7 linked regions of the Kluyveromyces lactis genome follow. The protein of the gene in region 7 interacts with the protein of the main gene of each other region in a biochemical or structural test. Links are inferred from orthologs where the notes say so. Each region holds a gene or a part of one and is shown on either strand. Other genes may lie near its edges. The genes, in order: ORC6, ORC5, SLD2, ORC1, PSF2, SLD5 and MCM2.

Region 1 (4,288 bases), about 1.1 Mb from region 7:
CACAATGATTATCTCATCTCCTACACTGCTATCTAGAATGTTATCAACTTGAATAAATGAACATATTGGTGTGCCATTAATAGAAATTAATGTGTCACCCTCTTGAACTTTATTATAAGCTGGTCCCTCTCTGAGAATAGCCTCAGCCACCAGCAAACCAGTTTTACCCGGGAACCTCTTACGAGCTTCCTTCTCACGATCTTCACTTAATCCAAGTCTTCTACATTCATCGAATGGTTTCAATACCCACTGAGTTTGGATAGTACCTCTGGTGATTGGTTTATCCGTTTGTACGCATTGTAGAGCTCTGACGACTCGATCAAGAGGCAAAAAGAAATCTGTAGAAGCCTCCGAAGAGCCACCGGCCTGTAAAGCGACCGCATACCCCTCTACAGTAATAACTGGAGAACCAGAAGAACCACCTGATGCAGCAGCAGCAGCTTGAATATATTCAGTATTAAAATCATTATACGTTAGCTCACCATAGTCTGGTGCATTTCTGTCAAGTCTACTGATGAACCCTGACAAGATACTCAATTTTTCACCAGCATCGTTACCAACAACACGGATTTCAGAACCAACCTTGGCCAAAGATGGTTTCAACTCTAGTGCAGTGACCTCGATATATTTCAACTTCGATGGATCAAACTTCAAGAACCCAAAATCATGAACTGGGTCGCGATAGATAGGGATGACATCACACTCTTCGTGATTGTCGAAAATGGCGTATCCGATGAATGGACCTGGACCCACAACGTGTCTGTTTGTTAAGATGATACCGAGTTTTGCATCAACAATGAAACCTGTTGCTTCCGACACCAAGGCAGCTTCTGAATCGAAAGGTGCGACTTGCGAGAAATGAATTGAGACCACCGACTTAACAACTTTGGAGATAGTTTCTTGCCATTTAGCGTTGTTATTGAATAAAGAGTTGCCTGAATCTATAGGTACATCGTTCACTTCATCATAGTCTTCTTCATAATCAATATCTTCGTCTACACTACTTGTGTTCTGATCGACGTCATTGTCGACCCTCTGTTTCTTGGATTCAAGATCAATGTCTTCAACAGATGATTCGAGTAGGTTTCGCTTCAACTCAACAGTCATTTCACCAGTTACTCGGTACGTACTTCGCAGTTGATTATTCGAAGAGTAATCCGATCTCCAGAGTTCTGACAGACGGTAATGTCTCTCTTCAATTCATCTCATCTGCGCTCTCTATGTTTAGTTATCTTCTTTTTTTTCATCTTGCCGTTCCCTTCGGTAAACGTCAACGTGAAAAATTCATTAGAAAGGTAATGAAAACGTATTGAATGATAAATGCGAAGATGGGGACGGTGAGAAGAAAGGTATCGGAGGAAACCATTCATGTGCCATCTCTTAGACTGAGGTCGACCATAATTCTTCGTTTCCAGTTTGAGTATTGCTCTTCTGATACGACTTCATATTCGTCTTGTAACATGCTGCCTATTCTGACGGCGATAGCGTTATCGAAATCCGATCCATCGTAATAATCGAACTTGACACGGAGTTCTCGGTACCATTTCTCACCGTCTATTAGTTCTTTTGTGATCTTGATAGCTTCCATGATATCTTCATCATTTGTTGTTCTCATTTGTGCCGCCATCTTCTTCATTAGCTTGTTATCGATTGTACTGTCCTGATTTCTCTGTTGGTTGAAGACAACGAACGAGCAAAGAAGTACCAGACCACAAACCAACTGTGTAGGATACGCTAGGTAAGTAGCGTTGTTATTGAATTCGGAAATTATGGTAGCTGTTACTTCTTCAGGAAGTTCAAATTCATTGCACAGAGTCACCAGTTCAGCGGTAGACGGTCTATAGTATTTTTTGTATAGCATGTTCCATTCGTTATACTTACCTCTTTTCTTTCTTGGTGAAGGCGTGTATTTAGAAGGGGAGTCACGAAAGGGTGACTGTCTTAATGGAGATTCAGGATCATCCTCAACTGATCCAAACACTTGTGGTATATTGATCATATCAGTCTTATTCTTCGGGGTTGCTAATATGGGCAACGGAAGGCCATTTTCTGTATCAGCTTCAAACACTAATTTCCTCCGGACACTTGACCTACTCCCTTTGCTAGGTGAAAGATCAACATTCTTCAAGGGCTGGATACCACTTTTAGTTCTTGATTTCGACGGAGTCTGGAATAGCTGTTCTTGTAACGACTTCGGATCTATCCCTGTGAATCTTGCATTTTTAACCGCTGACTTTCTAACCGATGGTGATGCAGTATCATCAAACTTCAGCAATTGTCCTTCGGTATCCTTTTGCGGCGAATGAGGCCATATGTTTCTCTTAAATATATTCACAAGTTTGGATACTTGGTCTGGTGGAAGCGGGATCTTCTCCTGAGAATATGGTAGGTCATTGTCATACTTCTCAGCTAGTTTCTGAAACGCAATCAGTGCACATATATGGCACCGAGCAAGTTCCTCTGAATTCTTCAGCATCACTTTCGATACTGAAACGTTGTATAATGTTGCTGTAGTAGAAGCCACTTTCTTTAACCGTTGGTCTTGCCAGTCAACATTAGAATCATTTTTGACCCCTAATAAATCGGTTACACACGTTCGTACTTGCTGCGTAGACATCTTAAATTATTTCCACGGATTCTTAGCACTCTAAAGTGACTAAAATAGGATCATCTACTCACTTGTTGTATTACACTGGCCCGGAAAAGACATATATCTCATCTCATCTCCATGGACCATTTTTAACATAATATTAAAAACAGTCTTTATGTAGCTTTTTGATCTTTTTCTGATTTTCTCGATTTTCTCCAATATTGAAACAAAATATGGTAAATAATGAAATTGAATATTAATCAAAAGTATCATTATTCGCTTCTCCATCTATAAGTTCAGTTTTGGCAATACTTCTAGTATTTCATCTAGCATAAGTTGCTATTCCAGCGTGTGTGTATATTTTAGTTCTCATGAGTGGGTACTATAATAGACAGTACTCTCATTTTCATGGGAATAATGATCGGTACCAAACCGGACGATATGCATATCAAGAAAATGGGAATAGGTACAAGGGCTTCCAACGGAATGGATCAGGGAACCGAAGATACTCCCGCGAGGGGTTTGGGTCTCAACTTAGGAATAATGAGAACGAATCTCGTCCAATACGGTCGCAGTCGCGTGGTATCAGCGAGATTCCTCGTAATCCCTTCGCAACGCGTCCAGTAGTGAGTGCGAAATACGATCGCGATGAGTTTAATACAAAATATCATTATTACGACATTGTAAGTAAACGACTACGAAATGAATCCAGCTTCAAGAAATGGAAATCTGAGAAGATTCCTGAGCATGGATATGTGACAACAACGGAGTTGATTGCATCGGATAAGCAAAAACCAATACTCATGGCCAGGCAGCCTGAACAAACTTCGGTGGATCCGAGAATACGTCCTATGAATGGGGATGCGGTCTCTGGGTCCATTTCTGCGAAAAAGAGATATAGAAAGCTTAGAAGTGCATTGGTACGCAACTCGCGAATTCCGTATGATTCTTTCTACATTGGTCCTGAACCTCCAAAAGAAATCATAGTATACCCTTCTGCATCTAACCAACAACCAATAGCAGCCGCATTATCTGAAGCAATAATCAAAAACTACTTTAAATCATTTGGTGAAATAGCGCATTTTGAACAGTTCATGGATCCAAATAGTGCATTGCCATTGTACGTCTATCTAATAAAATTCACTGGTCCAGTTTCTCAACCTGATGCTCCATATAAAGCTGCTTATAAGGCATCAGAGAAATTCAAAGACGCACCTTACACAGTATCAGGTATCAAGTTCAATGTCATTTTAAACCAAAATACAGTGTTAAATTCAATAAAGGACAAACTAATCAAACAGAACGCAGCCAGAGTGACAGAAGTGAATAAAGCGAAACGGGCCATTGCAGAGAAATCATCCGGGCAGAAACCTCAAGTAATAAGAGGAGTGCCATACGATTTAACTCAAGTTGTGAACAACAGACCAGTTTTGTTTGTTCCTGCAAAGATTACGTTTTATCATAGGTTCAATGCAGCAGATTTCAGATATCAACTTCGTAAGTACAATTGGGCCAAAATTATTGATCACTACACTGGCGTATATATTGTTTTTCATGATCTGGAAAATGCAAAAGCATGTTTAGAGTACGAATCAGGTGCCTTGGTCATAAATTCGCATAGGACTCACTCTCCCATACAAATAGAATTTACTTTCATTGAACCAAAGAGGAGACTTCAATCAAATATCACTAACCAAA
Region 2 (4,551 bases), on a different chromosome or scaffold from region 7:
AGATTAACGTTAGAAAAGATAGAAAGTTTGTCAAGAGAGATAGCTGGAAAACTTCATGGTTACACGGAAGACGATTCGGGGAGCAATAATGAAACTATGATGCAAGACCAAACCACGGATTGGTAACCTAGAGCGGTTGTACTCAGATCTGGCAATTTTTTTTGGCGTTAGTCATCTGGTACGCTTAATTACATAAAGTAAATACAATCAACATGATACCAATGGTCAGTTTCATCAGTGTCACATTTTCTCTTTACCACAACACTACTGTTGAAGTATTTTTCCTTCCAGGTTTGCATTTCGTAGTTTGAAAATGATTCATGAGCCGTTTCAAAGTCTGCAAACCATTTGAAGACCCAGTTTTTACTTTCAACGTCGTCAATTGTTGATCCCATGAGATTTTCTTCATCATATAACTCCCTTATTCCTTCTTTCTGCAATTGCATGGGATTGTCTATACCCTTCTGTTCCAGCACATTTACTAAAGTTAGAATGATCTGTATTGCGTTCGCAATGTATTTTGTACGTTCCTTATGTTCTTTTGGTAAACTTTTCCGTAGTTGTTGAAGCAAAATCAATGCTTCTTGAATTGTCTTCCCTCTCGGTACAAAATAGTACAATTGTTCGAGAACTTCTTCTAGTCTGTATAACATCCTAGCCCTCTTCTTCCGTTGTAGAGTTTGGCTATTTTCATGAGCTTCTCTTGCCCTTTTAATTGACTCCTTCGAAGAAAAGTCTTGGATCCATTGGTCCTCATTTTCAAAATCATCATTTATAGTTTTTCCCGTAGCATTCCCTACCTTGTCTACGGTCCCATTTTTCAGTTCTTCTTCCATGTTGAAGGCTTCTATTTGTACGTTACTACCATTTATTTCTTCTTCTGATACTGAATCATCAGCAACAGCGCTGTCAGATTCTGAAATCTCTGAGGAATTTCCATCAAAGATTTCATCGGTTTCGGTTTGACCTCTTCGTACGAAATCTTCTATTTCTTCTTCATTATCGCTACTGTCGTCGCTGCAAGAAATGTCCTGGTAGTCTGATTCCTCGAAGTGATCGTCATAGCTATCTGCGTTGAAGTCAGTCTTTTTGACCTGAAGCTTATCCTTAGATTTGGTAATTACAGATCTATCATTTTGATCAGATGATCCCTTATTTACATTCATACTCAATGAAAGCTGCTGCTTTCTGCTTGCTGGTATGTCAAATATCTGAATCTATGGTTGTTTCTCTCTACGTATCAATTTCAATGTCTATAAAAAATACCTAAATTTGAAGAAGCATTCCATAGAGTAAAATGAGATCGAAAAAAAAAGAACGGCATGCAACAATCATATAACTACTACAAATGCCGAGTTTATTCCACAACATCACTGAAATATTCTGAAATATCAAAATCAACACTGCCAGCCACTAGTAATATGTAATCCCAAGTGACGTTAACTTTAAACTTAAGTCTTTCGTGAAGATACCCCAATTTGTGCATGTTCAGACCGGTAAGAAGTTGAGAAGTAATCAATTCGGACACGTTTTCGTAGACTTCCACATTTGCTTTCATATGAACATCTCTTTGAAAGAAATCTGGAGACAATTCCTTCGAAACTCTGACTGGGTATATCGATTGGAAAATTGCCAGCATTCTCTCAAGAGAAAAGCCTGATGGTTGAAGGTATCTCGGGTTATTCGCTGGTTTGCTTCTTCTCCCATAAGATGATCTACCCCCCCTTAGATGACTCTTCTTGGAGAAGACTTTAGAGTCGTACCGATGATTCAAATATGATGCCAAATATGCGGCTATTAGAAGATATTTTGCCATGAAACAAAGAGAATGGCTTGAATAACCAACAGACCCGGTACCACTTAGTGAATTTTGATCCGAACGGCTGGTTTGTGGTATTAGTCTTTCGTTAGGTTTATTGAATAGCTCCAGGTTAGATTTGTATAACTGTACTGTATTTTTAATGTTCTCTTGATTTAAAGATCGTACAAAGCACCTCCATTTAATTCTCATTATGTCTATCAGTGCAGTGGGGTCATAACCTGTATATACAATTAATGATTCTATCAGGAAATGGATATATTTTTCGAAGATTTCACTCCTGAATTGTTCTGTATTTCCGCATCCTATCTCATCCATTTTTTCCAATAACAGCGGGTCATCCGAGAAACCTGGTGTTTGTGATACAATATATTCAATCTCCAGTGGTTTATATTTGGGGAAGAAGATCGTGGGAACCTTGAACGTTGAGTAATTGGACAAGAATGAGGATTTGGAGAACGAGATTATTAACCGAAGTTGAATCATCGCTTGTGGAAGAATAGATCCAGGTAATGCCATGAGTTGCGTAGGTGTTTCCAAGTTCACCTGTGAATTATCATCCAGCCCATCGAGTATAACATAAAGGTTAACGCGTTCTACCAAGTGATTAAATCGGATAAACAATTTATTGATAAATTTCTGCAAAAGATATACGTCCTCGGCTTCAAATGGATCAAGATCAGTGGTTTCCACACTAGGAAATTGTTTCAGTAGCAATTGACGCAGACATGTAGCCAACCGCTGACAGGTGGATTTGCTATATATCAGATCTTTCGCTGGTAGTAAAATGTTCATGATTTCTTCATTGCAAGCAAAAAACTTCTTGAGGGTATGTGTCTTACCACTTCCATGCGGCCCTTCTATGAACAAGATTGGCGGGCTCAGTTTTGGATCGGCATCGACAAACGCTTCCAAAAAATCTAGTTGTTCTTCTCTATATCTAACATCAGGTCGTACCATTCTGGGTCACTTGATTCGCAGTAAATAACACATAGTGCGTCTTCATTCAGGTGGGAAGAATTCAACCATGCTAAGTTCAGAACAATTTCCTTTATGTGTATATATATTTTTTATTTTCAGATCTATTTTAACACATAAACACTCATAAATGTTAAATGTAAACACATCAGCAGACTAAAAGATAATACAACAGATGCCAGGGACTTGAACCTATAAGAAATCATTCAAAGTTTCTTTCAATGTTCTAAAGTCAAAGCTTTCCGCCAAGTTCTTGAAAATTTGTAACTGTGCCATGAAAGATTCCTTAGATACGGCAAGTTCCCATTTTCCTGAACATGGACAATAAGGTGACATTGCATCCTCTTTGATCTTATGACATTTATTGCACTTAACATCTTGGGTAATAAACGATGCAACTTGGGCTTGAAGTCGTTCGATCACATGCTCTTCAATGAGATTTTTATTCAAGGATCTGTTGCAGCTCTGGCATATGAAGACTCGTTCCATACTTTCTCTGCAAATATCAATATCTGATATATAAGAACAATGCTCACATATGAAGCTAGGGATCACAAAAGATGTACTTGGATCCTTGAATTCAGCTAATCTGTCGAATTCGCGTATTTCAAATGTCTTTAGGAGTTCTTTCCTTAGCGCCCTTCCTTCTAATAAATGATTACTGGAAAGTGATAAAATATGTGATAAGTATTTGACCAACTCAAGAAGCGGATTTTTCACAACTAGATGCGACCCAGGAATTGTGGGAGATAGATAATCCTTGCCGAAGTTAGGATCAAGAATATATTCCTGTTGGTTCTTGTAAAGTTTCTCTGCTCTTTTGATGAGAGCTTTTGAAAAATTATGGGTAAAACCGCCTAGAGAGTCAGTTTGACTATCTACGTCACTATCAGCCAGTGTATTCTTTGGTAATTGGGTTAATCTTTGTGTGGATGCATTTCGCTCATGATAGGCTTCCTTTGTCTTAACCATACTATCCAGTATGACTACTAACCAATCATCAAACTCTTGCTGATAAATTGCAGGTAAGAAATCCTTTATATGCCAATGAGAATAAGCCTGGAAACTCTGAACTTCTTTATCTTCAATCTGTAGACATGCTCTACCACCATAATTATACTTATCCATCCAAATCAGGACATCCCAATATCTATCAATTTTCAAGTCTAGATAGGCAAACATTGGTTTAGATCTGATCGCTTTCATGAGATACTGCCCATAGGCGTAAGAATTCTCAACGGAACGCTTCTGAGTTTTGATTAACAGTTTGTTTCTGTCTGCGAAGATGAGAGATGATCCTGCCAGCTTAAATTCATTGATCAACTGTAACACGGCCTTTTGAGTGAGAGTATGGATGTGATATCTCAAAGCATAATCGAATAATTTCGCGTCAGGGTTATACACCCATCCTATAAATGCGTGTACTAATGAGTCAGCCGTGATATTATCACCTAAGGCATCATCCCAAAGCTCTTTCAACAGTGCGCGAAGCACTGACAAGGCCGAAGAAGAGAAAGAATCTTCAACAAAACCGAAGGATTCTTCCTTAGATGTCGAATTTTGGGCAAGGTCTGTACCTTCAGCCTCGTTCAACATGGTGCTGCTCAAAACAGTGTTCACAACAGAGTTATAGACACTAATTTCGAAGATAACGTCATCATAGATATCAGGGTTATTCATAATAGGGAACACCAAATCAGTCATGAGCTCCGCTTTCCGTGGGTCAAAATCTCTTTCAACGCCACCGTGGTCAG
Region 3 (4,224 bases), about 110 kb from region 7:
ACAAGCTTCGTCGCATCCTACGCATGTGACGAAGTTTCACGATCAGGATAACAAGACTTTGGTGACGGCAAACGACGATAGAGTAGTGAGACTATGGGATGTTTCTCATGCTTATGAACCCACTTTACAGTTAACTGGAGCATCTGATTATGTTAGATCAGTCTGCTTTGTGCCAAATGCTCCACATATGGTCGCTACAGGGTCGTACGATGGAGTAGTTAGATTGTACGATATTAGAACGAAATCAGATAAACCACAGACAACTTTGGATCACGGTCTTCCTGTGGAAGATATCACAGCCATATCTCCTACTCAGCTTGCATCGTGTGGTGGTAACGGGTTCAAAGTATGGGACTTGACTAGCGATAGAGCCCTTTGTGAACGTCAAAATTTCGCAAAGACGGTCACCTGTTTGAATTACACAAATATGGGAGAAGAATCACCAATGAGTTCCGTACTAGTTGCATCCTCGCTTGATGGTCATGTTAAGATCTTTTCCCCGTTGGAGAACTTCCAATTCAAGTTTGGCTGGAAGTTTAGCAACGCTGTGCTAAGTTGTGCAGTCTCACCAGGCGATGCGCAAGGTAATAAACATTTCGTTGCAGGTTTATCCTCAGGAATTCTAGCCATCAAGACGAAGAAGAAGTCCAAAAAGATTAACCTCGCTGATGTCTCTGATTTGGAGGATTTACCATTACAACAGCAAGAGAAGTCTGCGAAATCCAACAATTTCCAGAGAATGATGAGAGGGTCCGAATACAGAGGTGATCAAGAGCATATTATACACAACGATAAGCCAAATCCTCAGCGTAAGTTGCGTCAATTCGAAAGGCATATCAACCAATTCAAATGGTCTGACGCATTAGATTCTGCATTTATCCCCGGTATGGCTAAAGAATTAACTTTAACGGTATTACAAGAACTAAGGAAAAGAGGTAAAATCAAGGTTGCATTATACGGTAGAGACGAAAGTTCTCTAGAACCACTACTCAACTGGTGCTTGAAGGGAATAGAAGATGTTAGAAGTGCACCAATTGTTGCAGACTGGATTGCGGTTGTAATTGAACTCTACGGTAGTGTACTGGAGAAGTCCCCAGTACTTGAAGAGATGGTAATCACTCTAAAGAAAAGAGTAAGGGAAGAGATCCGCAAAGCAAAAGAAGCACAAAAGATAGAGGGTATGCTCCAATTGTTAACAAACTGATAAAATCCTTTCTACACTGATCTATAACAAAAAGGAATGCGTGTAAAAGATTATATTTATTTACATTTATAGTACATAGACTGCAACAACTGTATCATCCCGTTCGTTACGTCTGTTTCTTTGTTTTTAACGTTCTGACTTTGAAGAAATCACCTTCTTCCTCTCCATTTACTGGCTCTGTTTCTTCCTGCCTTTGTTGGAAGATTCAAACGCTTGAAGTTGTTGCTAACAAGGTTGTATTTACTCTTACGTTGCTTCTTCTTTACGGGTGGATTGGATTGTTGTTCAGAGTCAGACTCACTTTCTTCCACTTCTTTACCCAGCATTTTATTGTACTCACGTTCCTTCAACTTTGCTAGCTGTTCATGAACATTTTTGTCTGGAATGTTGGTCGACTTCTCGTTTAATGCTGCTGGTCTCATCTTCGCTTTTGTTCTTTTCTTTATGGTTTTAACTTTCCGCACATAATTGCTCTCAGTTTCATTGCCGACAGTTCCCTCGTCCCCCTCTTCAATTATATCCATATGTTCTTCCTGCATCAGCTTTTCCATAAGCGTTCTAATCGCAGTGAATTCGCTGAAATCTTCTGGGTTAGATTCGAATTCGTCTTTTATAATGGCATGTTCCTTCGCTAATTGGGACAGTGTCTTCACCGGCCTTTTAATCAGCGGCGATGGGCTGAAGGGAGAACTTTTCAAATCCAGGGTTCTACCAAGCGTCTTTGGTGTTTCTGACAACTGCAATCCAATATCGCCGATCCGCATTGGGGAGTTTGGTCCATATTTCGGTCTTGACACAACAATATTCGCAGATAGATTTGGAACTTGCTTCATTGGAGAAGAGTTCGGCGTTATTGAGAAGTTCAATTGGCGCCTTACCAGGTCATTTGATCTTACTGGCGAGCCAACTATATCTTCTTGATCCGACTGGTGAGTTTTCATGGCAGACACTTGCATCTCAAATATACTAACTAATTTCCCATTCATTTGAGGAGTCGGTCCGAATTCAGCCTTTGTGTTATTCACATGCGACTTCACTGGTGTTTGCTCTACGTTAACCTCCACCGATGGTTTAACAGTAGCATCCTTCTTGAGCTGTGCATACTGTTTATACTTTCTCTTGACCTCTTTATCCTTTTTTATATCATCTTTCTCAGGAAGCCTTCCATGCTCTTTCTCGAAAGCACGCTCCCACAGCTTGATCTCAATCTTAAGAGCATCCATACTAGCGCTTGATATCACGAGTAACAACGGTGCATTTACTGTATCTGTCTCTTTTATTCCATTCATAAAGGTCGTTAGAATAAAGGCAAAGAACGAAATTAAAACGCGTAAATTATTGAAGTTTCCCATGAAGAAGAATAAAGAGAAATGAGCTGCAAAAGATTCACGATCACAGGTCAATCAGGGCACATGAGATGGAATGTTTGATACCAAGCTGTTCCTCAGTTTACCAATCGATATACGGTATACTGTTTACTTCTTTTTGGGCGACGTTGTGCAAAATGTAAGACCACCTGCTAAATCAGATATCTTTAACGATGAGCTTATTGCCTATCCTAATATAAGGGAGTTCAATCAATCTCTGGTGGATAAGTACTCTAAACATATTGGTGTATATGACTATATACCAAATTTCATTCCCAATTGGTGCCGAGACTTCGATTTGCTTCGACATGACATAATACTTACTGATCGACTGCGGGTTTGTTTACAATATGAGGAACAATGGTTTAGTGTCCAATGGATCGTAGTGTCAGGTGAGCTTGAAATAGGAATATTCACTACAGATGAGCAGTTTCTACAGGTGAGTTATACCATTAACGAGTATTGCCATCTTTTGAGTATTGCACAACAAGATTTGAGGTTAGGAATTAACGTCAGTGATATCAATGATGTCAATGAATTATGCAAAGAGATACAACACCGCTGGCTATTTGATACAGTTTCATATATTAGTTTCATCAATTGCTGGGATTTAGATCATGAGAACGTCGTTTCTATCATTCCATGCATGGAGTCGTTCAATAACTTGCACATGCTTCGCATTGAATCGAAGAACATGTTTAATAACCTGATTAATACTCAAGGAGTTCGAGAGAACCCTGGTAAGACAATAGTATACAATGTCCGACAAAATATATTCGAATTAGAGCTGTATACGTTGAGGGATTTGGGGTACAAATCTGTTGTTGATTTACAAAAATGGGAACAACTTCAATGTCTTTCCTTATCAGGTTGCGAATTCATAGACCTCAATAACCTTATTTTACCACAACATTGCAAGATGTTGATATTAAAAGAAGTGAAGTATATCATATGGTGGGACCTGTCTCATCTGTTGAAACGAATCAGGCCTCAATGGATTATAAATGGTCAGGTGAAAAAACCCACGAAGAAAGAAGAAGAAGAGGAATCAGAATGGTATAACCTTTATTTAGAAGTGGTACAAACATACCAACCTCTGAATTTCATAGAACTGCACAACGCCAAGCGAGTTAAAGGAAATCTAATATTACCTGCTCGTTTAGTAACCGAATCTAGAATAAAGATTTCTAATGGGACTAAGGTAGATTCTGTTTTACTGATATAAGAGAATTGTGTCCAATGTGTACGATAAATATGTCAATTCATTAGCGCGAGAGAAACAGAGAACAAATGTACATATAGACTTATAAATAAGAGCAATATAATGAATATAGATAGGGAGAGTAATTTCGTGTCATTCATTTCATCAAACGAGATTGGAGGACCGTGAATACTAATAATAATAATAATAATAATAATAATAAAAAAAATCGGTGGGTAATAAAGGTAAATTATTGTGTCGTTAAAACATTATTGTCATTGGAATCGTTGGAAGGGGTCATTAAAAGGGGGTGCTTGACGTACTCATTATTCGAGAATAATAACGGTGTTAAATGAAGGAAAAACATGGTTAGCGGGGATAACATAATTGACAAATCGTCAAAGAAAGGATGGGAAACAATAAGGCTGACTACAACTTGGAATTGAAAATGT
Region 4 (5,453 bases), on a different chromosome or scaffold from region 7:
AGCGTTCTGTCGAGCTAGGCCAGGAATTCCTGCCCTCTCAGCCTAGAGATTGAGCCTAATTTTTCGTGTTAGGCTCACCCGGTCACATGACAGCAGTAAACAAAGTTCCTATTTAGCAAAATATCTTACTGTTATGAAATTTGAAGATACACACAGTATGTATGGATGTAAAACTTATGAATACAATGGTGTCCGGATGTCAAAGCAACACGTGACCGCGAACAACAGTCCCAATGTTGTCATTTTCCATTTCTCATGCTACCATGATTTAAAGGTAAATAATGAGAATCTACACACATATCGGTATGCTCCATAACGACACATAGAAACATACAAATACGTGCTGATATCCAAGTTCAATTGTATCTTTTAAAACATCCTGTGTGCTACAGATATATACACACACAGAGCAGTGAGACAAGTCTACAGATAACACTCTTTTTTTTTTCGTTGCAATGTCTCTGGATAAAGATCGAGTACCGAGCCTTAGACACCAGGTCAAGGTGAAAGTTGGCCTGATAGGTGATGCACAAGTTGGAAAGACTTCTTTAATGGTCAAATACGTACAAAATGTGTTTGATGAGGAATATACGCAGACATTGGGGGTGCATTACCTCGAGCGGAAAGTGGTGCTGGGATCCACAGACGTTATATTCTCCATAATGGATCTTGGAGGTCAACGTGAATTTATCAATATGCTCCCTTTAGTATCCGAAGGTGCAGTTGCAATAGTATTTCTTTTCGATTTGACGCGGCCAGAGACTTTAAATTCGATAAAAGAATGGTACAGACAAGCAAGGGGGTTCAATGATACAGCAATTTCAATTCTGGTTGGAACTAAATATGACCTTTTCGTCGATATGGACCCCGAATATCAAGAAAATGTATCTAGAACTGCGATGAAATACGCTCAAGTTATGAAATCGCCTCTGATATTTTGCTCGACCCAATCATCAATCAACGTACAGAAAATATTTAAGGTCGTGATTGCAAAAGCTTTCAATCTAACTCTGAAAGTACCGGAATATAAACAGATCGGCGAGCCCTTACTGATATACAAATCATTCGGTCCTTCGCGACCTTCTTCTCCAAAAAGACAAGTGCATACCCCTCCGCCATCATCGTAAATCACCTACCTCCTATTACGTGATCAACGGTTTCATCTTGCCCGAAGCGGGAGGGTAAAGAATGAATAAACACGGTAAAATAGTAGTTAAAAAAATGCATCCTTTATTATATCTTTCTATCTTATAATTAAATAGTTGAAAAAGCAGTTTCATATTCTACTTAACCGCTACGCTACATGACAACCTAAGTAGCAATTATAATAGCAGCAAAGGCGTCTTGAAGGCATATACTAAAATGTCTTCAACATTTCATCTTCATGCAAGCATTGCTCCGCATCTTCCATGGAAATATTTAATTTGATCGTCGAGAGCCTCTCATTCTTCAAATATTGCCTTACTACAACACCTGCATCCAATAATTGCAATAAAATATAGTCCCAAGACACGGCCCTTAACTGTTCCTTTGTATCAACAGAATCATTTTGGAATAAAATCCGTTTCAACTCTAAAATGTATTTGTTATTCCCATTGACATCAATGAGGAGCCTCATTTCTTCTACGATATCACCAAGTTGTACGTCAGTTTGCTTCTTCTTAATTAAATTGATTAATGCGTATAGGAAAAGTTTTCCGCTAAATGACAGACCAGATATGAATTGTTGTTCCGGAGAGGTCGAACTTTCGTTTAATGCCTTGGTAATATGCTTAATTTCTACACTCTGTAATTCTTCATTTCCTGTACCATTGCCACTAGTATCTTTTTTGGAATTGACTAGTCGCTCATATCTAAGCCTCTTTAAGTAATCATTTTCCGCATATTCTACCGCTCTTTTGACCACCTTTAAAGCTCTCCGCACATCACCACTGACACTAGCAATTTTTCTTGATGCAATCTCAATGGCATCAGGATTAATCCTAAGTTTTAGTCGTTTATAGTTAGAGAAGTCTTTTCGCTTTTCTTCTTCATCAGTTTCTATAGTACTACTATCCGGAGAGATCATGTACGAACTCCCTGTCTCCGGGTCGACATAGAAACTAGATTCGTTCAAATATTTAAGTCTCAAATTGATGATTGTTCTAAGCTCTTCATGCGTGTAACCAGTGAACATAATTCTAGTAAAACCAATTCTGGACGAAATCTTGTTACCAAGATGGCGTTCGGGGAGATCTAAGGTGTTTGCGACAGCTACAACAATAAGTTTCGCATTTGAATAGGTAGCCCAGTTAAAGAAGTTGTACATTACATCTTGGCTCTTGCTAACTAATGCATCAAGCTCATCCAATAACACAACGATAGGACGTTTTTTCGTAGCTGGAACTTTGTTAAAATAAAACTCCAGAGATTCCATGGCAGCTCCAGATGTAAGCTTTTCTCCAGATATTTTTTGCCAAAAGACTTCATAACTATCACTTGCTTTGACAATCTTTAAACCATTGATTTCAATGTATTGGAATCTTGGAAGTTCTTTTTGGTCTGCAGATGTCATTAAATCCTTAACTACCTCTCGAACCGTCAAAGTTTTACCAACGCCTGGCGTCCCGGCAATGTAAATACTGGTGCTAGTGCCTGCTTCAATTGCACTGTAAAGTGAGAGGTATATACTTGCAAATTCATTTTCTCTTGCCGGAAGATAATTGTCGAAATCAGCAGCTTTGACAATTTCTTCTTTGCTATTCCTTGAGTTCAATTGCTTCTTCACCTTAGAAAAAATAGTCTCCATTTTGCCTTTAGCAGAAACTGTTCTGAATCTCTCCTCTAATGCAGCTATATCCAAATCATTATTATGCCTTTGGAAAATATCGTTCAAGTCAGGAATATCCTTCGGATTCTTATACCGTTTGGAAAATGGAGTATATGCCTTTTTAGCGCGCACTATATTATTCTTAAAGAACTTTCTAGGAGATGAATGAACTGCTGATGGCTGCAATGGAGTCTGTGATTTTACTGGTGAAATGGGTATATCTGGTTTAATAGATCTCACCTTTTTCTTGGCAGGTTCTACAATTGCAAGCTCTTCTGCAGACTGGTAATCTTCAAACTCTTCATCACTGTCCGAAGAGGATGCGTTTGCAAACTCTTCTTTACTTTCGTGATATTCAGATAAATCCGATTCATTATCTGATATAGCTTCCTTTTCGTTAACAATAGTAGATGCAATGCGTTGGACTTCAGCGTTGGTTTTGCTCACTGTTTGTTGAAAGCTTTTTTTGCTTGGTGTGTTGTCGGACTGCAATTTCGTCGCCACTACCTTCTCTCGTGCGTGGACCTTGGATTTATTTAAAGGTTTTGGAAGCTTGGGTAAAGTAATATCACGCAAATACTCCAGAGACACCTTAGGATTCGAGGAACGTATTTTTTCTTCAAAGAAATGTATATCTAAATCCGCCAGATTAGTTCCTGAAGGCAAGCATGCAGATCGACATAAAAACATATTAGAATCCATTTTCCCTTCATTGACAGAGTCTAAATACTCCTTTTCATTTTTAATATTAGCTACAAATTGCAAGTCCCGTAGATAAATCTCTGAAAGCTCAGCTGTCAAATACAATTCGTTCTTTATCGATTGTGACGCGAAGGTTTCCTCAAAAAATTTGTCACCTTTTTCCTTATTAGTCTCATAAAACTCTCCATCAAGCTGTTTATATCTTTCCGCAGCATTGATCTCGTACCAACTCAAATAGTTCAAACACCAGAGTTCTACGTAATTGCTTGTATTCAATCGCACCTCATGGATCATATACGCTGATAACTCGTCTGCACCCTCTACCTTGCACACAATCGTAACACCAGGATAAAGTCTGACTCCATCGTATCGTACCAAATTAATCACTTCATGTTCTGTAGCATCTCCTCTTCTTCTTCGCCTAGGAGTTTCAGCAATGAGATTCCCCTTCAAGTCTGTCTTCTGTATTTCCCATTGAACTTCAAACTCAGCTAACGTTGACGCCATGCCTAATAAACTCGCTACCACGGAATAAAAAGGAAAAATAATCAGATAACCGTTAAAATGCAGTAATTCCTTCCTAAACTAGTAGTAGTTACTTGCTGGCCAAGTATGTTGAAATGACAGCTACCTGTTTCCGTAGCATTCTTTTATCTCATAGCATATTGGTTGTTACACGGTTCCTCTGTTTACTGAATTAAGATCGATCTTGAAACATCAAATACGTGTAAAATGATACATAGTTTTCCCATTCCTGACGTCTAATTTTAAACCTTGAACCCTGGCAGAAACAGATCAAGAGATTTATCTCAAGAGTGATGACATGATAAACAGAATGAATTCTGCCAGTCAATTAACGAAGGTGAAGCAGATAAACACAGAAGAATAAAGGCAGCTGGCCTGCTGGAAAAAAAATTGAACAATTTCCCACGTTGATAGAGTCATACATAAGAAGCTTTTAGGAGCTTTATAAAAAGAAATGAGGTTTGGAAGTGTCTTGGCGAGGAATATATCGTTATGGAAATACTTAAAAGTGACCCTAGGACACCTCAACGCATTTGATAAGATGATGTTATGGCTGCGAGTTATAACTTCAGTGGGAATTATCGTTTTTGTCCTTGTTTTGACTGCTATTTCTGCCGCATCACCAAATTCGTTATATTTAGGACGATTGGACACTTCAAATGTTAACATTTTGCAGGGACTATTTGATAAGCTCAGCAGTTCTGTTGTCAGTGCAAAACTGTCTGATATTAATAACGGAGCAGGACTCACAACAGCAGAGATTCTTTTACTCACGCGGTATGTAGACTCACAGGTCCACGACGTGCCCGATTATATAAAGACAGGAGTTTACGGATGGTGCAGCATGAAACATGCTTCTCAAGAATTATGGCAGCCTGACGGTACTTGGAAGGAGGAACATAACTCTACAAAGGCTATGACTTGTCACAGGGAAGGAGCGCAATACTTATTGAACTATAGAAAGCTATTAGATGACCTAGGTTTGGGAATAGTGTTAAGTTACGCATACGGATATACTTACAACGATGGTGTTTTGGATCACGACAATGCAGAAAGTGCAAAATACAACAAATTTTTGGCTGCTTTGTCGAGAAGAAAAGTCAACATGGTCAATCTACTTTACGTCGTGGCAGTATTGGAAGTTTTCATATTGGGATCGATTGTCTTGTACTACATGATCAGGAATAGACCTGAACAAACCATGAAAACCAAAATCCTCCTGCATTCTATATCACTAATGAAACTATTGGTGTTTATTTGCTCTTTAGTAGCAGTCATAAACTTTACTATACTATCAATCAACATTCGTCAAAAGATTTCGAACGAACTTGATTCGTTTGGGTTTTCATATCATCTTGGAACTGGTTGGTTCACATGCTTGTGGATCTTTGCATTTTTCAATATTATATCGTGTCTC
Region 5 (3,681 bases), on a different chromosome or scaffold from region 7:
TTGGCATAAGTTTGATCATTTATGCCAACTTGGAGTAATATCCCTGACGTATTTAGCGTAGTCTCTCAATCTTTCGACGTTATGGAATGACTCGCTTTCCGGATTCCCATAATAGAACAATTTGAAAATACTCTGCTTCTGATCATCATTACCTAGGTCTAAAGATAAATGAAGCACTCCGGTACTTCTTTGGAAGTACCATTTATTTACTACGTTGTCTTCACGAGATCTCCAAATTAGTTCGTGTGGGAACTTGCGAAACATCAGATTGAAAATGATATCAGATATTCCGAGAGAGCCCTTTAATTTTTGTGCTACCGCAAATTTGTCCAAATATACGAATTGCTTGTCCTTTGGCCCTTCGTATGTCAAAATTGCAATACCTTCATAATCTCCTATTACGATTATGCTCGCTATGTTACCATTGATCCTGCCGAGATAATGTGATAGGTCCAATGACCTTTTAAAACTTGAATTGATTATCCCATTCAGTTTATTCAAATCGAGTTTTTTCGATACTGGGTCAGATTTGCCAGTTTGAGTAGCTTGCGATGGTGGTAGACCTATGGAATTATCATCGGTCAAAGTCCTGAAGTCAAATATATGGATATCAATCCCCTTCTTGAAAACTGTAGTCACAAGAACTGAATCGTTTGCGGAAGTGACTTCCTCTTCCACGTTGGAAGATGGAAGCTCATACCAGCTTTTCGATTGAGCCGCAGCCGATCTTTTGAATCGAGGTAAAGATGACGATATCAATGAACGATCAGTCAAGATATTATATACCAATGGGTTATTATCTGATAATTTGGACCCTGCTAAAATAGTGGTAATTAGCCCAGTAGACGAATGTGGTAGAACTGATAGCGTTTTATTCATGATTTCAAGGTCTTCCATATGACATTTCAGTTGATCGCTGTTACTAAGAATCTTATCCTGATTCAAAAATAATTGTAGAGATTCTACCAAATTCTTCTCAGTATTATCCACTTGAATAGATTCTAGTTTCTCCAATTGATTTTGATAACTGTTTCTCAATTCTCGATATTCTTGTGACAAATTTACAAAGACATGGCTGTTTGTATGTCTTTCCACAGACGGCAATCCACCATACTTGCTGATAAGGAACACCTTGTCGATATTTATGGGCAAGTTACTCACTAGAGATGATAAGAATCGAGATGGATCGCCAGCCAATTTCTTAAAAGCTTCCTTCTCATGGTACTGATATGGCTCAATAATCGGAATAATATGCGGGTTCAAAATCGGAAGTTTTACGTCAATTGAGCCACGTTCACCGATGGTAATGGGATCTAATACGATTATTGACTTCAGACTCTGATCATGCAAATGATTGTCCAAACGCTGACTTTGGTATGATATGTCTTGGCATAGCGGGTCTACTATTAAAATTGGTCTTAGTCCGAGTGTTTGAATTCTTGACACAGTCTTGCTAAACCCACTAAGTACGTTATCTGAATATTCGGACAAATGTCTCAAAAATACAAGACAGTAGTGATGATTATTCTCATCGGTATATTTGTTCAAATAGTCTTTCGCTTCCCTTTTAGTCACTGTAGAATTCAAAACGCTCATAACCAAACTCCTGCCATGAGCATTAGGTTGATGGTATCTGACCTCTGTGGTCAAACACCTAATCCATGTTTTGATCATAGCACTAGCCCACAAAATGTGCCTTTGGACGTTATATGATGAGATCAAACCATTTATCTGCAAATATGGAAAGTGTATAAAACCATCATTTATTCTAGTTTTATCAATGAGTCAAGTCATCAGAGAAAACTGCCAGTTTAAAGCTTTAGTTAGTCTTTCCTGTTTTTGTTTTTCCTGTGCTGGATTTCAATGTCAAGATTGAACATGGAAAAATAATTGAAGCACAGATATCGATTGGTCATAGTCGCGCATTGAAAGCACTATGTAAGGAAGTAGTGAGCTTGAGGACACTATAGATTAGCAACTCCAACCTGAAATAGAGATGGCACTACCGAGAGATCTATCAATAGGATTTTCTCCCCAAGAGATACAGTTTTTAATTGAAAATGAACCGACACGAATTATGCCCAGAATCACTACGAGGAAGACCAAAAAACAGCTCGCGAAGGATCCTGGCGCCCAATGGTCACTGATCACATGCGATGATTCTACGGTAAATAACATGGTTGCAATGAATAGTTGCGAAGTCACGTTATGGCTGGCTTTACTGTTAAAACAACAGGGAAAGTGTAACGTCGTGGTACCCAGTTGGCTGACGTTACAACAGCTGGAGAAGTATTTAGATTTTGAATTGAAAAACCCATCACGATTCTCCAATCTACCCTGGAATTGGCTAGTGGTATCGTCACTGCTGTTTGCCAGATGCAGCGATGATTTTCAGGATCCAGTTCATCTACTGAGATCTAAGGTCCAAGATCTGCGAGAAGTTCGTTTGGGAAAAGTCAACAAGGGTTTGCAGTACCTGAACGAATCGCATTTACAGCTAGAGAACTTGTCCTTGATGGAAATCAATGAGATGAGACCCTATGCGTGTGGTATCATGGACAAACTGAGGACAATTCATGACTCCAGTAATGACACCACGTGATCAATAATATAATAACCTTTTCCCATTGAATCCAAAATTCCATTCACGAGGTTTCCACCAGTCCCTCCCCTTAATCCAACCTACATGGTTATATGATAACACAGTTGACCATAATCACTAGAAAAGGTCGGGTTACCATGTAAGTACAGGCCTATCAAATAACACATATATTACATACCCTACATGTACCCGCTTCACAGTTTGTAGTAATTCGAAACAACTGATCCATCCCGAACATTCACGCACTGCTTAGTTCTTATTTACGTTTGTGTCGCAAACATGCCTCGCGGGCATGCCTTGCGTGTGCACCCCACGTTCTTGCTTCATCATATTTGTTGTTCTTCAGGCTATTTCGGTTCCTTGCATTGAACTACGGGTATAACTTACAGAAAACGACACAAGGGGGGAACACAAACACGGAAACGAATCACGTTTCTTCAATATTACGTTGGGAAAAGAATTTACCGTAGATAGAAAACAATAACAGTAGAAATTGAGCAGGATGAACTCATAGAGAGCAGCATGGTTGCGTTGATAACTTCCCGCTACGAAGACATTTTACCCGTAACTCTGTGTACCATGTCATAAATACAGCTCAGCATGTTTATAATATATATATATATATCTTTAGGTATATAATAAACCCCGGAAGAGAACAGAGTTGGAAACTCGGGAAATAAAACAAGTGACCTTTGATTCAGTTTATTTGCTCTGTATATAACATGATATTTATAGTAGTTTTTGCTTCCATGGCCATTCTATTTTAGATAGAGTAACCAGCTGAATCCAGTGTTTATCTAGCTAGTTGTTAAAGGAACACGGAATTTTAAAAAAAATAAAAAATAAAGGGTTCTCATTCCTGTGCGTTATCTTTGTTTTTATTTTAGATTTGGGATCTGTCGGCTTTTTTAGCGGGTTTAAAATCTAAAGGGTGGTTAAAGGGACGAAAACAAGTTCAACTTTGAAGAAGTATAACTACAATTCGCCTGTTTTTTACTACTAATTACCGGTCACCACCTGCAGCCAGTCGTTTGGGCACTGTGTTAAGTACACTTTAAAAAAAATTCAACAACATTCAC
Region 6 (4,103 bases), about 140 kb from region 7:
TCAATGGGGAGGGGCTATTTCTCACTTTGCATTCCTTACCTGGCTCATCTATTTCAGGTAAGGTCCAAGTAAAACAAGGGATAAATCCATTCTTCATCGGTAGGTCAGACGAATGCAACTGTAAAATTGATGATAATCGTTTATCTAGGATACATTGCTTCATATTGAAGAAAAGACACGCTGTCGGTGACAGTATTTATGAATCTCCAGCTCAAGGTCTTGATGATGTATGGTATTGCCAAAGTGGTACTAACTCAAGCTATGTTAATGGAAAGAAAATCACTCCGGGCACAAAGATCTTACTTCATGATGGCGATGAAATCCAAATTATATGGGATAAAATCAATGATGTCACTGTTTCTTTCCAGCTTGAGTTCAATGATACCACTGGTTTGTTCCACGAGGGGAAGCTGGATACCAATGAGAAAACAAACAAGACACTTCTACATAAACAGACACAGGAGGAGTTAGCTTTAGTCCCTAAGTTTATGGAATTTATGAAGTCTAGATCATCACAACATGCCAAATCTAATATAAACCAGTCCTCTTCCAGTAACATAGATGCCAACTCGCAAAATATCGAGGAATTAGATTCTGTCGTTGAGATGAACTCGACTACAGGATTGAAAAGAATACATTCAGTGTCGTTATCTCAATCTCAACCGCAGACAACCAAAAGGGCTAAGCTTGCCCAAGCCCAGAAACCAGATATTGAAGGATTTCTCTGAGCTGATCATATGCTTGCCGGATGGGTTTTGCATACAGTAAATATGAAAAATAGGTACACTTTGAGTATGCTAGATAGACTTTTCAACGTTAATTGATGTAATACTAATACAAATTGGTTCAAAAGCACTATAGACCAGCAGTCAATAACACTAGGTAGAAAACATGCTGTGTTCGCAATAACATTGTTGAGAAATTATTGCTGGCAAACATTCGTTACAAACCTATATTTTTCGAAGAGTCATAGGTTCAGTAATACTGTTCAGAATTTTCATTATATTAAAACTACTCGTCCCTCAGTCATGAGATCTCGTATTACACTATAACGTATTACGTATACTGCCCCGATTAATAAGTAAATTTCTTCATTTAAATCTTCAATAATCACTGAGTAACAGTGTTTTCCATCATCATCGGTCGTTAATTTCGAATCAATACCACTTTCGTCAACTACCCCACCACAAACTAGTATAAATACAGTTTTATTCCAATCGGGTTCATCAATCATACTGATGGAACCCTCAGTATCGTTAACGGCTTGCAGTTCTTCTGGTAAGTGCTTAAGTACTGCGTTGTTAAACAGTTTTAGTAATATGTCAGAATGCTTCATATGGTACTTCACCTCTTCTTTGGACATCAATAAATCTAGTCTGCTGAGGCCCGCATTATTGGGTAGTTCGGATTGTTGTCTTAGGTAAATGCTGTATTTGTCAATTTTGCTTAACCGGCATCTGATGAAAGATCGAACTAGGAACTTCAATCTCTCAAGTTCTGCTTCCATGCATAAAAGTGGTAGCTTTGAATCGACAGTTAACTCTTGATTATCTTCTAAGTATCCCATTGATAGTGTTTCTATTAGTTCAATTCTTTCTTGAATCCTTATTAATGTCCTAGTCATGAGATGATGTGGATATGGAAGCAGCTCCGGACTCATACGTTCATTCTTCCAATGTGTAATTAGCTTTTGATAGTCGTCAATTTTGTTAAACTGTGTGGGAGCCACAGGGTCAACCGCCTTATCTGCTGGTCTTATCTGAGAGACATCATTGCCTTGAGTTCGATCGCTTTGGTCTGGGTATGAAGAAGCATTTTGTTCAACAGCTGTAGTGTCCCTATCCAGCTCAGCTAGAATGTCGTCAATATCAATGCTCATTGTACTAAAGAAATATGATCCTACCACCAGGACTCAAAGCGGAGGAAGTGTTCGGATAGTACACCGGGGTGGCTTTTATAATTGCTGTAAAGGTGTATTCAGACAAGAAGGACTTACTTGCAATGTGTTATCCTCCAACCTATTGTGAAATTCATCCAACTTACTGTAACATCGTATTTTTGATAATACTCAAATCTTATTTATCATCTTTTGTTTACGCTTAACAAATCCATACATGAAGCAAGATAAAACGCGTCAGTGAAGAAGCGCTCATCAGCAACACCAACCTCAGGGGGAATATACCCAGAAATATGGACAAGAATGAGCGCTTACAGTTGATGAAGCAGAAAATAGAGGCTCTTCAGCTGCAAAGGAAAAAAATTGATTCGAAACATGAAGAGATAGCAGATTGTACCCTTCCGTTCATTTCCCATATCACCAATTCCATAAATAACAACGAATCTGAAGTCAAGAAAGAAGTAAAAACTGTTGAGATCTCAGTGCAAACAGATGATGTAAATGAGTTTGAATTGAGCGCTGTTAAGGAGGCTGTGATAACATATGATATCGGAATACAGACAGATGAATATGACGGGAAACATGAAATTATGGAAGATGGACATCTACCTTCCCAAGATCTTATAGAACAGCAAGCATCGACTTCAGATATTACAGAGACCAAGGAGGATAAAGAAGTTGTTGAAAAGGATGTGTTTGATTTCGGAAATGTCGTTTCAGCGGAAGACTACGCAACGTTGAAGAAAGAAACATTTTCACTACAGGAGACTATAGAAGCGGCTGCGCTCAAGTCATCTTCTCATCAAATCGCTGGTGATGGGAAAATAAGCATGTATTTATCAATTTCACCAAAAGTTGCCATTGATTCAACTTCTGAAGCAAGGGTCATTTCCAGTGACGTCTTAGATAATTTACTGGTTACTGTGATTCATCTTGTAACCAAATACGTGAAAAGCTCTTTAGTTCAAATCACACACGTCTCTTCTGGTGAGGTACTTGATACAGTTTTATTCCAAGGTCAGAATGTTGTACGGAGCAAGTTTATTGATAATCCTAATTCTAAGATTACCTCCGTCGTTCTTTCTTGCTATACAGGAAAACTCATCTTATATGAACTGCGAACAGTCAAAATAAATAATAGCTTTCAGGTGGAAAGAAATATTGTTTCCACTAATTATCATCACTATCCGGTACTTTCAATTATAATTCCAAAATTCAATGACCATAGCATCCTGGCGGCCAGCACCAATGGCCAACTTAAGCTGATATCAACCTTAGATTTATCATTAAAAGAGGATGACGATGTCAAAATTATTCCTATCCCAAGGACGGACTTATCATATTCTACTGAACAGACTAAAAAAGATAACAAGTATTACCAACACCTATTGATAATGTCGCTTTATGACGAACTGAGCATAATTAGTATGCTACTGCTGCCATCTGATCCTTCTTCCATATATCTTGGTTGCGAGGATGGCTTTATTTACAAAGTGTGTCAATTACCTCTAAAAGGTGATAACAAAGGGTGTTACAAAATTAGTGAAGGAAACAATGGTTTCATACCAAACTTCACCTCAAATGTGGATGATGCTTCTCTATTCCACGAAGGTCCAATTACTGGTATGGTCGCTTGTGCTGGCATTGATGATCTTTTCTTCTCTTACTCCATTGATGGTGATTGTATTTTTTGGGACGCGGTCAGCAATTCAAGAGTAAGTGTTATAGAGTGCGATGATGCGATAATAAAAGCTCAGTGGATTAACGAAAATGGCTCTTTCTATGTTGCTCTATTAACGAGTTTCACATTTCAAATCAAATCCTTAAGATTTAGTAGAGATACTCAAAACAATTGGCAGTTAAATGAAGACGAAACTTCCAAAGATATTGTCATACTACCGTCTGATACCCCATTGAAGGAATTCTCCTCTTTTGAGGTAATTTGCAATGAGGATGCATGTATACTTGTGCTATGCGGAACTGCCAGCACCATATACTGCTATGTTATCAACAATCTATGATAATTATTGTCTGAAATGCAGTGTATTAATTAATACTGATCGGAAATTATTTAATTATTAAGTAAGAGTAATTTTGTAACAACAGCAGATGTTACAACATGCAGGAGATTGTTTTATTTTTAAGTTAGCTACAAACGGCCATCAGCATCTTACTAGATAAAATGCACGTTTGAAATAGTTCAATA
Region 7 (5,272 bases):
AAACAATTGATTGTAAACAATGAAGATAGACTAAAGATTGTTTACTCCGGTGTAAAACTGTTTGTTTCCCAAAGGTCAGACATTGATTGTGCTTGGAGAATTCAATCCGAATCCTTACCAATCATGAAACAACATATGAACTCTGCCAGAATCGTCCCAGGTAACATGGAAATTCTAAAGAAGTTGTTAACTGAAGCTTTCCCAAGATACGAAGACTTAACAGCGGACAACGTCGATCCAGAATTCATTTCCAAGACTCAAAAACTGAGTGCAGGATGCACTTTCATTAAAGTCGATAGAAATGATCCATCCAAGGAAGATTTGTTTTTACCAGTTTGGAACGGATCAAAATGTATCAACTTGATGGTTTGTAAAGAAGATGTTCACGAATTGTTGTACAGAATTTTCGGCATCGAAACAACCAGCAAACAAAATCCAAAGGCTGATCATATGGCCAAGAAGGCCCAAGAAGCAGCTGACGCATCAGCTAACTCTTCGAAGGAAGAGACTTCTGAGAAAGAAGAAGTACCTGCTGTAACTGTCACTGAAACATCCACGGCTGAATAAGTTTCTTCACTCCACATTATCAGTTATAGACTTCTACATGAAATTATAAAAGCGGTATTCCTTTGAAGGTTGAAGTAATCATTATTTAAGTCTATTAGTTACAAATTTGTATATTATGCTAATATAAGCGATGTAGTACTGCATCTATAATGGAAAAAATGGGAACGGTATATTGTTGTTCTGAGCTTATAGAATTGTTTTCTTCCGTTGGAAATGTTGAATCTTGATTTCACATTGTTCCCATAGTATAAACAGCGAAAGATCTTTGTAGTTGGCGACGTACACTAATCTTTTGTGCACCCACAAAACTGTCCACTGTTACTTTAATTGCTCTGTCTAAATCCCATGAGGAAACGAATTCTGATAATCTCATTTTCGCGAAGGCTTCAGCAATTCTTAAGATAGATTCCAAATGACGAACGGTGATCGGGAATGAACCAGTAGTGACACTCTCTCGTCTCAAATCAGCATAAACCCTACTCACTTTGTCCATATCCATTTGATGTAACTTAGGGTAAACTTTAGTTCTTGCGTAATGAATATACTTCATTAGCATATGCTGAGATATGGGCGAAATTTCTTCTTCTCTTTTACGAAGGTTCTGCAAGCGTCTTTGTTTGGCAGATAACGGAGTTTCTTCATCACCCTCCCCATTAGGATTTTCCGTTGGAACGTTACCATCATCAAAATCATCCAGATCCTTGTCTGGATGAGACCTGATATGTGAATCAACGACGAAAGATGCTAGCCGATTATCACTTTCTTCATCAACCAAATCTCTTACCACGCAGAGGATATCGAATCTTGACAAAATTGGTTCAGTCAAATTGACATTTTGTGATAACGGAAGAGTAGAGTTGTAACGACCACCGATCGGGTTGGCGGCAGCTAAAATAGAGCATCTGGCTTGTAACGTGGTAACGATACCTGCCTTAGAGATGGATATACTTTGCTGTTCCATTGCTTCGTGAATAGAAGTACGATCCTGATCGTTCATCTTATCGAATTCATCAATCAAACAAACACCCTTATCCGCAAGCACTAACGCACCACCTTCAAGAGTCCACTCTTTAGTTATTTGGTCCTTCCTGACAGAAGCTGTCAAACCGACTGCAGAAGCACCTTGACCTGTAGCGAAGACAGCTCTGTTGGCAGTTTTTTCCACGTATTTCAAAATTTGGGACTTGGCAGTACCTGGATCACCGAGAAGTAGAATGTTTATGTCACCACGGATGGAATGCTTACCGTTAATGTTTTTAGGAACACCTCCGAATAAAGAACATGCAATTGCTGTCTTGATATCCCTGTGCCCATAAATAGATGGAGCCATTGATGAAATGATTTTATCGATGATTCCTCTGTCACGAGACATCTTTCTGAATTCACGCTCTTCGTCTTCTGTCCAACTGAAGGCATCCAGCCCTTCGTGTTCATCACCATCATGCAATCCGCCTTCTCTTCTCTTCACTGAATTGGCTTCCAGTACTGTTGCGAAAACGGGGAACCCGTTCTTTGCATTCAAATTACCGTCATATGTGTTCTTATAGATTCCTGTCACTTCGACTTCTTCACCAGGTTTTGCGATATCAACCAAGTCCCACAACAAAATGACTTCTCTGTGACGTGGTAATCTACCGGCTGGAACAGACCCTGGTGATTCTTGGATGGTGATTCTTTGGTAATTACGGTACAGAGTTTTTTCCATATTAATTCTGAAGGGACCCTTAGATCTACAATTTGTGCAGAACGAGATTTTAATTTCTTCATTTGAATCCTGATAGTAAGGCCCAAGTGTGGCACCACATTTCAAACAGTTGAATTTAACGTATTTAAGTTGTGGGAAGACACCAGTTCTTCTTGTCACGACACCACTAACTCTAACTAAAGAATTCAAATGAGTTTCACGTAAAGCACGTAAGTTCAATATACTAGGGAAATCCGAGATTCTTACGTGAATTTCCGAGTGAATACGAGTATAATCGGGATAGTGTAGTTGTGTAGCTTCCATAGCCACTGTATCAAATATTTTCAACATTTCTTCGGGAGATTTGGCTAAAAATAGGGCTAGAATGGCCTTGGATTCTACCAAATGTCTATAATTAACTTCCAAGGATTCAGAGTTCATTTCACCGAGAGTTCTGATACGAGCACCGTAAACGGATTTACCTGACTCATCAGTATATTCAAGCAAAAACGATTTCAACTCTCTGGCAATAGTACGTGATACATTCGGTTGAGTGATCCATTCAGAATAACTTGATGCCTTCACATCTGCCAAAGATTCCAACGAGAGCTCATCTGCCAACGGATCTATATCCATATCTGATAACAAATCATCATCTGCTTCTTCGTATTGACGTCTTCTACGTCTCCTCTGTACTGGAAGACCCATAGCATCCAAATTATGCGCACCAGCTCCTTCGCCATCATCATCATCAAGGTATGCTGTGTTCCTATGCACCAAACGATCTCTCTCGTTCAATTGTGCATCGATTCTTCTACGCTCAGCGAGCGACAACTCTTGCTGCTCCTGGTCGTCGACTCCTCTTCTTTCATACGTATCATGTTCTGTGTTTGAAGCGTAATCACGGTACATATCATCACCCATCAAATCGACTTCATTCATTCTTTCTTCCACATCTTCAAGATCCTCTTGAACATTGACAGCTTCATCTCCATCGTTATCTGGATTCTCAAAATCTATCTCATCTGGAGATCCAAGCGGGTCTTCAAACTGTGGAGAACTAGGGATGTTAGCGCCACCTTCACGGGGTTGTGTAGACAAAGAATCATCCTCATCCTCATCATCATCAGCTCTTCTTCTTCTCCTCCTTCCGTTATTTATTTCATCATTATCAGACATCTTGAAACACTTTCAAAAACAGCAATTAATAATCTTCAATTATCGCACTACCAAATCCGATCACACAATTGTCTTCCTGATGCTTCGATGACCTACTTGTTACACTTTGTTTCAGACCATTGGGATCTAAAGCTATCTTAAGATCTTAACGTTTTTTCCGGCTTTTTTCTTCAGTTGAATGTACGAAAATGATCTTTAATTGAAACAATAACATTTCCTAAAATGGTGTTTTGCAACGATCTGACCATTGTAGAGCGTTGGGGCTAATAATACAGCAATGGCAATATTCCAATAACACCAATCGGTAGTTCTCACCTCTTTTAGCTTTGCAATCTACATTTGATTAGTATAATTTCTTTATTATGATGCGTGGATCACGTGATAATCACATGGGATCATACGCTTAAAAACCGTACTTATAGCTCCAATCACACGATGAAGCAACACAATTGCAGGTAAAGTATGGATGTTGAAGCTCTGGAATGATGTGATGCATTTTGTGCCCCATATTAGATCGATTTCCATCCGGTAACCGTCCAAATGTGTCGATATTGACGTAAAATCATACGGAATATTGATTCATCGACATGGAAAATCTCTTACTATCAATGAAATATCCCCAAATTTAAACATAAGGAACACGTCAAGTTAAAGGCAAAAAGGGTACCTTCATTCACGCATTTCTTACTACAAGGTGAGTTCTGGCACTTAAAGATAGTCTTGTTGGTGTTAGGGAATGAGCGAGATTAGCGTTAAAGAATATGTGAAGCGACAGGAGGAACTGGAAGATGAAGCAAATAAACTGATGCCATATGATCCAAGCCATTGCACTTATTCCATGGGCCCAATTCGACAGCCAATATTCGCATGTCGTACTTGCAACAGTATAGGAGTGTGCTATTCATGCTCTATTCAGTGTCACAGTACCTGTGACTTGGTGGAACTTTTCGATAAGAGGAATTTCAGTTGCGATTGCGGTACAGAAAGGCAGTTTGAACACGGTGAGAAGTTCACACCTTGTAATATAAGAAAGAATACTACACCAGATATACCAGACATGAGTAACAGGTATGGCCAGAATTTCAAAGGGTTATTTTGCTCTTGCCATAGAGAGTATGACCCGAATACAACGACAACGATGTTACAATGCGTCCTTGGCTTGGAGTGCAATGAGGACTGGTTTCATGATCACTGCATTCTAGGGATAGAAGAAAACCCAGACCCGGTTACAGAAGACAGAAAGCTACCAGGATTCCCTGAACTGTCAAGTTTCGAAGGATTTATCTCATGGGTTTGTATTGACAAGTACAGCTCGATATTTGAAAAGCTTTTATCACACGAAGCGTGTGATAAAATCATAGCACATAAAGTGTACAGGAGAGATCTGGTATCGGATCAGAACTCCGAGGGAATGACATTGGAAAGTACCAAGAAAAGAGGGCTAGAAGAAATGGAAAACTCTTCGGGTTCATATTCATTATTCTTGAAAGAAGGATATAGGGAAGAATTTAAACGATTAAGGGATTCACTTCCAGAAGGTGACTCCTTGAAAAGCTTTTTCATGCACACAGCACCATTCCTCACTTGTGAAGAGAAAGTTTATGAACCCCCGGAGGAACAAGAGCAAGGATCTCTTGTAGAAATGGGAGAAACGGCCCTAGCTCAAAACTTGTCTCATCAGCAAACTCTAGCCAGTCTAGTCGCTTTCCAGCAAATAAAATCAAAACTAACAGATTTCCTACGACCATTTGCGGAAAACGATAAGGTCGTTAGTGAATCTGATATCAAGCAGTTTTTTGATACTCAGAAAAAATGAACTCTTGTTACGACATTTAATCATCA

The links.
Region 1: the proteins of MCM2 (region 7) and ORC6 form a complex in vitro, tested with the Saccharomyces cerevisiae proteins (3 studies listed by BioGRID). The link is inferred for Kluyveromyces lactis from reciprocal best matches to the Saccharomyces cerevisiae genes MCM2 and ORC6.
Region 2: the proteins of MCM2 (region 7) and ORC5 form a complex in vitro, tested with the Saccharomyces cerevisiae proteins (2 studies listed by BioGRID). The link is inferred for Kluyveromyces lactis from reciprocal best matches to the Saccharomyces cerevisiae genes MCM2 and ORC5.
Region 3: the proteins of MCM2 (region 7) and SLD2 form a complex in vitro, tested with the Saccharomyces cerevisiae proteins (3 studies listed by BioGRID). The link is inferred for Kluyveromyces lactis from reciprocal best matches to the Saccharomyces cerevisiae genes MCM2 and SLD2.
Region 4: the proteins of MCM2 (region 7) and ORC1 form a complex in vitro, tested with the Saccharomyces cerevisiae proteins (2 studies listed by BioGRID). The link is inferred for Kluyveromyces lactis from reciprocal best matches to the Saccharomyces cerevisiae genes MCM2 and ORC1.
Region 5: the proteins of MCM2 (region 7) and PSF2 form a complex in vitro, tested with the Saccharomyces cerevisiae proteins (2 studies listed by BioGRID). The link is inferred for Kluyveromyces lactis from reciprocal best matches to the Saccharomyces cerevisiae genes MCM2 and PSF2.
Region 6: the proteins of MCM2 (region 7) and SLD5 form a complex in vitro, tested with the Saccharomyces cerevisiae proteins (2 studies listed by BioGRID). The link is inferred for Kluyveromyces lactis from reciprocal best matches to the Saccharomyces cerevisiae genes MCM2 and SLD5.

Annotation. Positions count from the first base shown.
Region 1 is NC_006042.1:2,245,300-2,249,587, forward strand, and holds ORC6 (origin recognition complex subunit 6), read right to left. Parts: upstream 2,618-4,288; coding exon 1,367-2,617; downstream 1-1,366. Other genes in the region: NMA111 (Nma111p), read right to left, coding at 1-1,107; histone methyltransferase SET1, read left to right, coding at 2,962-4,288.
Region 2 is NC_006039.1:234,270-238,820, reverse strand, and holds ORC5 (origin recognition complex subunit 5), read right to left. Parts: upstream 2,780-4,551; coding exon 1,358-2,779; downstream 1-1,357. Other genes in the region: ribosome biosynthesis protein LTO1, read left to right, coding at 1-126; U5 snRNP complex subunit LIN1, read right to left, coding at 189-1,166; POL2 (DNA polymerase epsilon catalytic subunit), read right to left, coding at 2,990-4,551. UniProt on the Saccharomyces cerevisiae protein: Component of the origin recognition complex (ORC) that binds origins of replication. It has a role in both chromosomal replication and mating type transcriptional silencing. Binds to the ARS consensus sequence (ACS) of origins of replication.
Region 3 is NC_006042.1:1,276,891-1,281,114, forward strand, and holds SLD2 (Sld2p), read right to left. Parts: upstream 2,557-4,224; coding exon 1,354-2,556; downstream 1-1,353. Other genes in the region: snoRNA-binding rRNA-processing protein UTP15, read left to right, coding at 1-1,204; CTF13 (Ctf13p), read left to right, coding at 2,627-3,796. UniProt on the Saccharomyces cerevisiae protein: Has a role in the initiation of DNA replication. Required at S-phase checkpoint. Also required for the proper activation of RAD53 in response to DNA damage and replication blocks.
Region 4 is NC_006038.1:453,282-458,734, reverse strand, and holds ORC1 (origin recognition complex subunit 1), read right to left. Parts: upstream 4,019-5,453; coding exon 1,358-4,018; downstream 1-1,357. Other genes in the region: Ras family GTPase TEM1, read left to right, coding at 456-1,127; ECM7 (Ecm7p), read left to right, coding at 4,491-5,453. UniProt on the Saccharomyces cerevisiae protein: Component of the origin recognition complex (ORC) that binds origins of replication. It has a role in both chromosomal replication and mating type transcriptional silencing. Binds to the ARS consensus sequence (ACS) of origins of replication.
Region 5 is NC_006040.1:557,519-561,199, reverse strand, and holds PSF2 (DNA replication protein PSF2), read left to right. Parts: upstream 1-1,996; coding exon 1,997-2,602; downstream 2,603-3,681. Other genes in the region: ARG2 (acetyl-CoA:L-glutamate N-acetyltransferase), read right to left, coding at 16-1,674. UniProt on the Saccharomyces cerevisiae protein: Functions as part of the GINS complex which plays an essential role in the initiation of DNA replication by binding to DNA replication origins and facilitating the assembly of the DNA replication machinery.
Region 6 is NC_006042.1:1,022,754-1,026,856, reverse strand, and holds SLD5 (DNA replication protein SLD5), read right to left. Parts: upstream 1,880-4,103; coding exon 1,001-1,879; downstream 1-1,000. Other genes in the region: serine/threonine/tyrosine protein kinase RAD53, read left to right, coding at 1-728; PAC11 (dynein intermediate chain), read left to right, coding at 2,191-3,918; KLLA0_F11077g (uncharacterized protein), read right to left, coding at 4,060-4,103. UniProt on the Saccharomyces cerevisiae protein: Required for DNA replication. Functions as part of the GINS complex which plays an essential role in the initiation of DNA replication by binding to DNA replication origins and facilitating the assembly of the DNA replication machinery.
Region 7 is NC_006042.1:1,164,914-1,170,185, forward strand, and holds MCM2 (MCM DNA helicase complex subunit MCM2), read right to left. Parts: upstream 3,431-5,272; coding exon 797-3,430; downstream 1-796. Other genes in the region: NCL1 (tRNA (cytosine-C5-)-methyltransferase), read left to right, coding at 1-567; KLLA0_F12606g (uncharacterized protein), read left to right, coding at 4,167-5,246. UniProt on the Saccharomyces cerevisiae protein: Acts as a component of the MCM2-7 complex (MCM complex) which is the putative replicative helicase essential for 'once per cell cycle' DNA replication initiation and elongation in eukaryotic cells.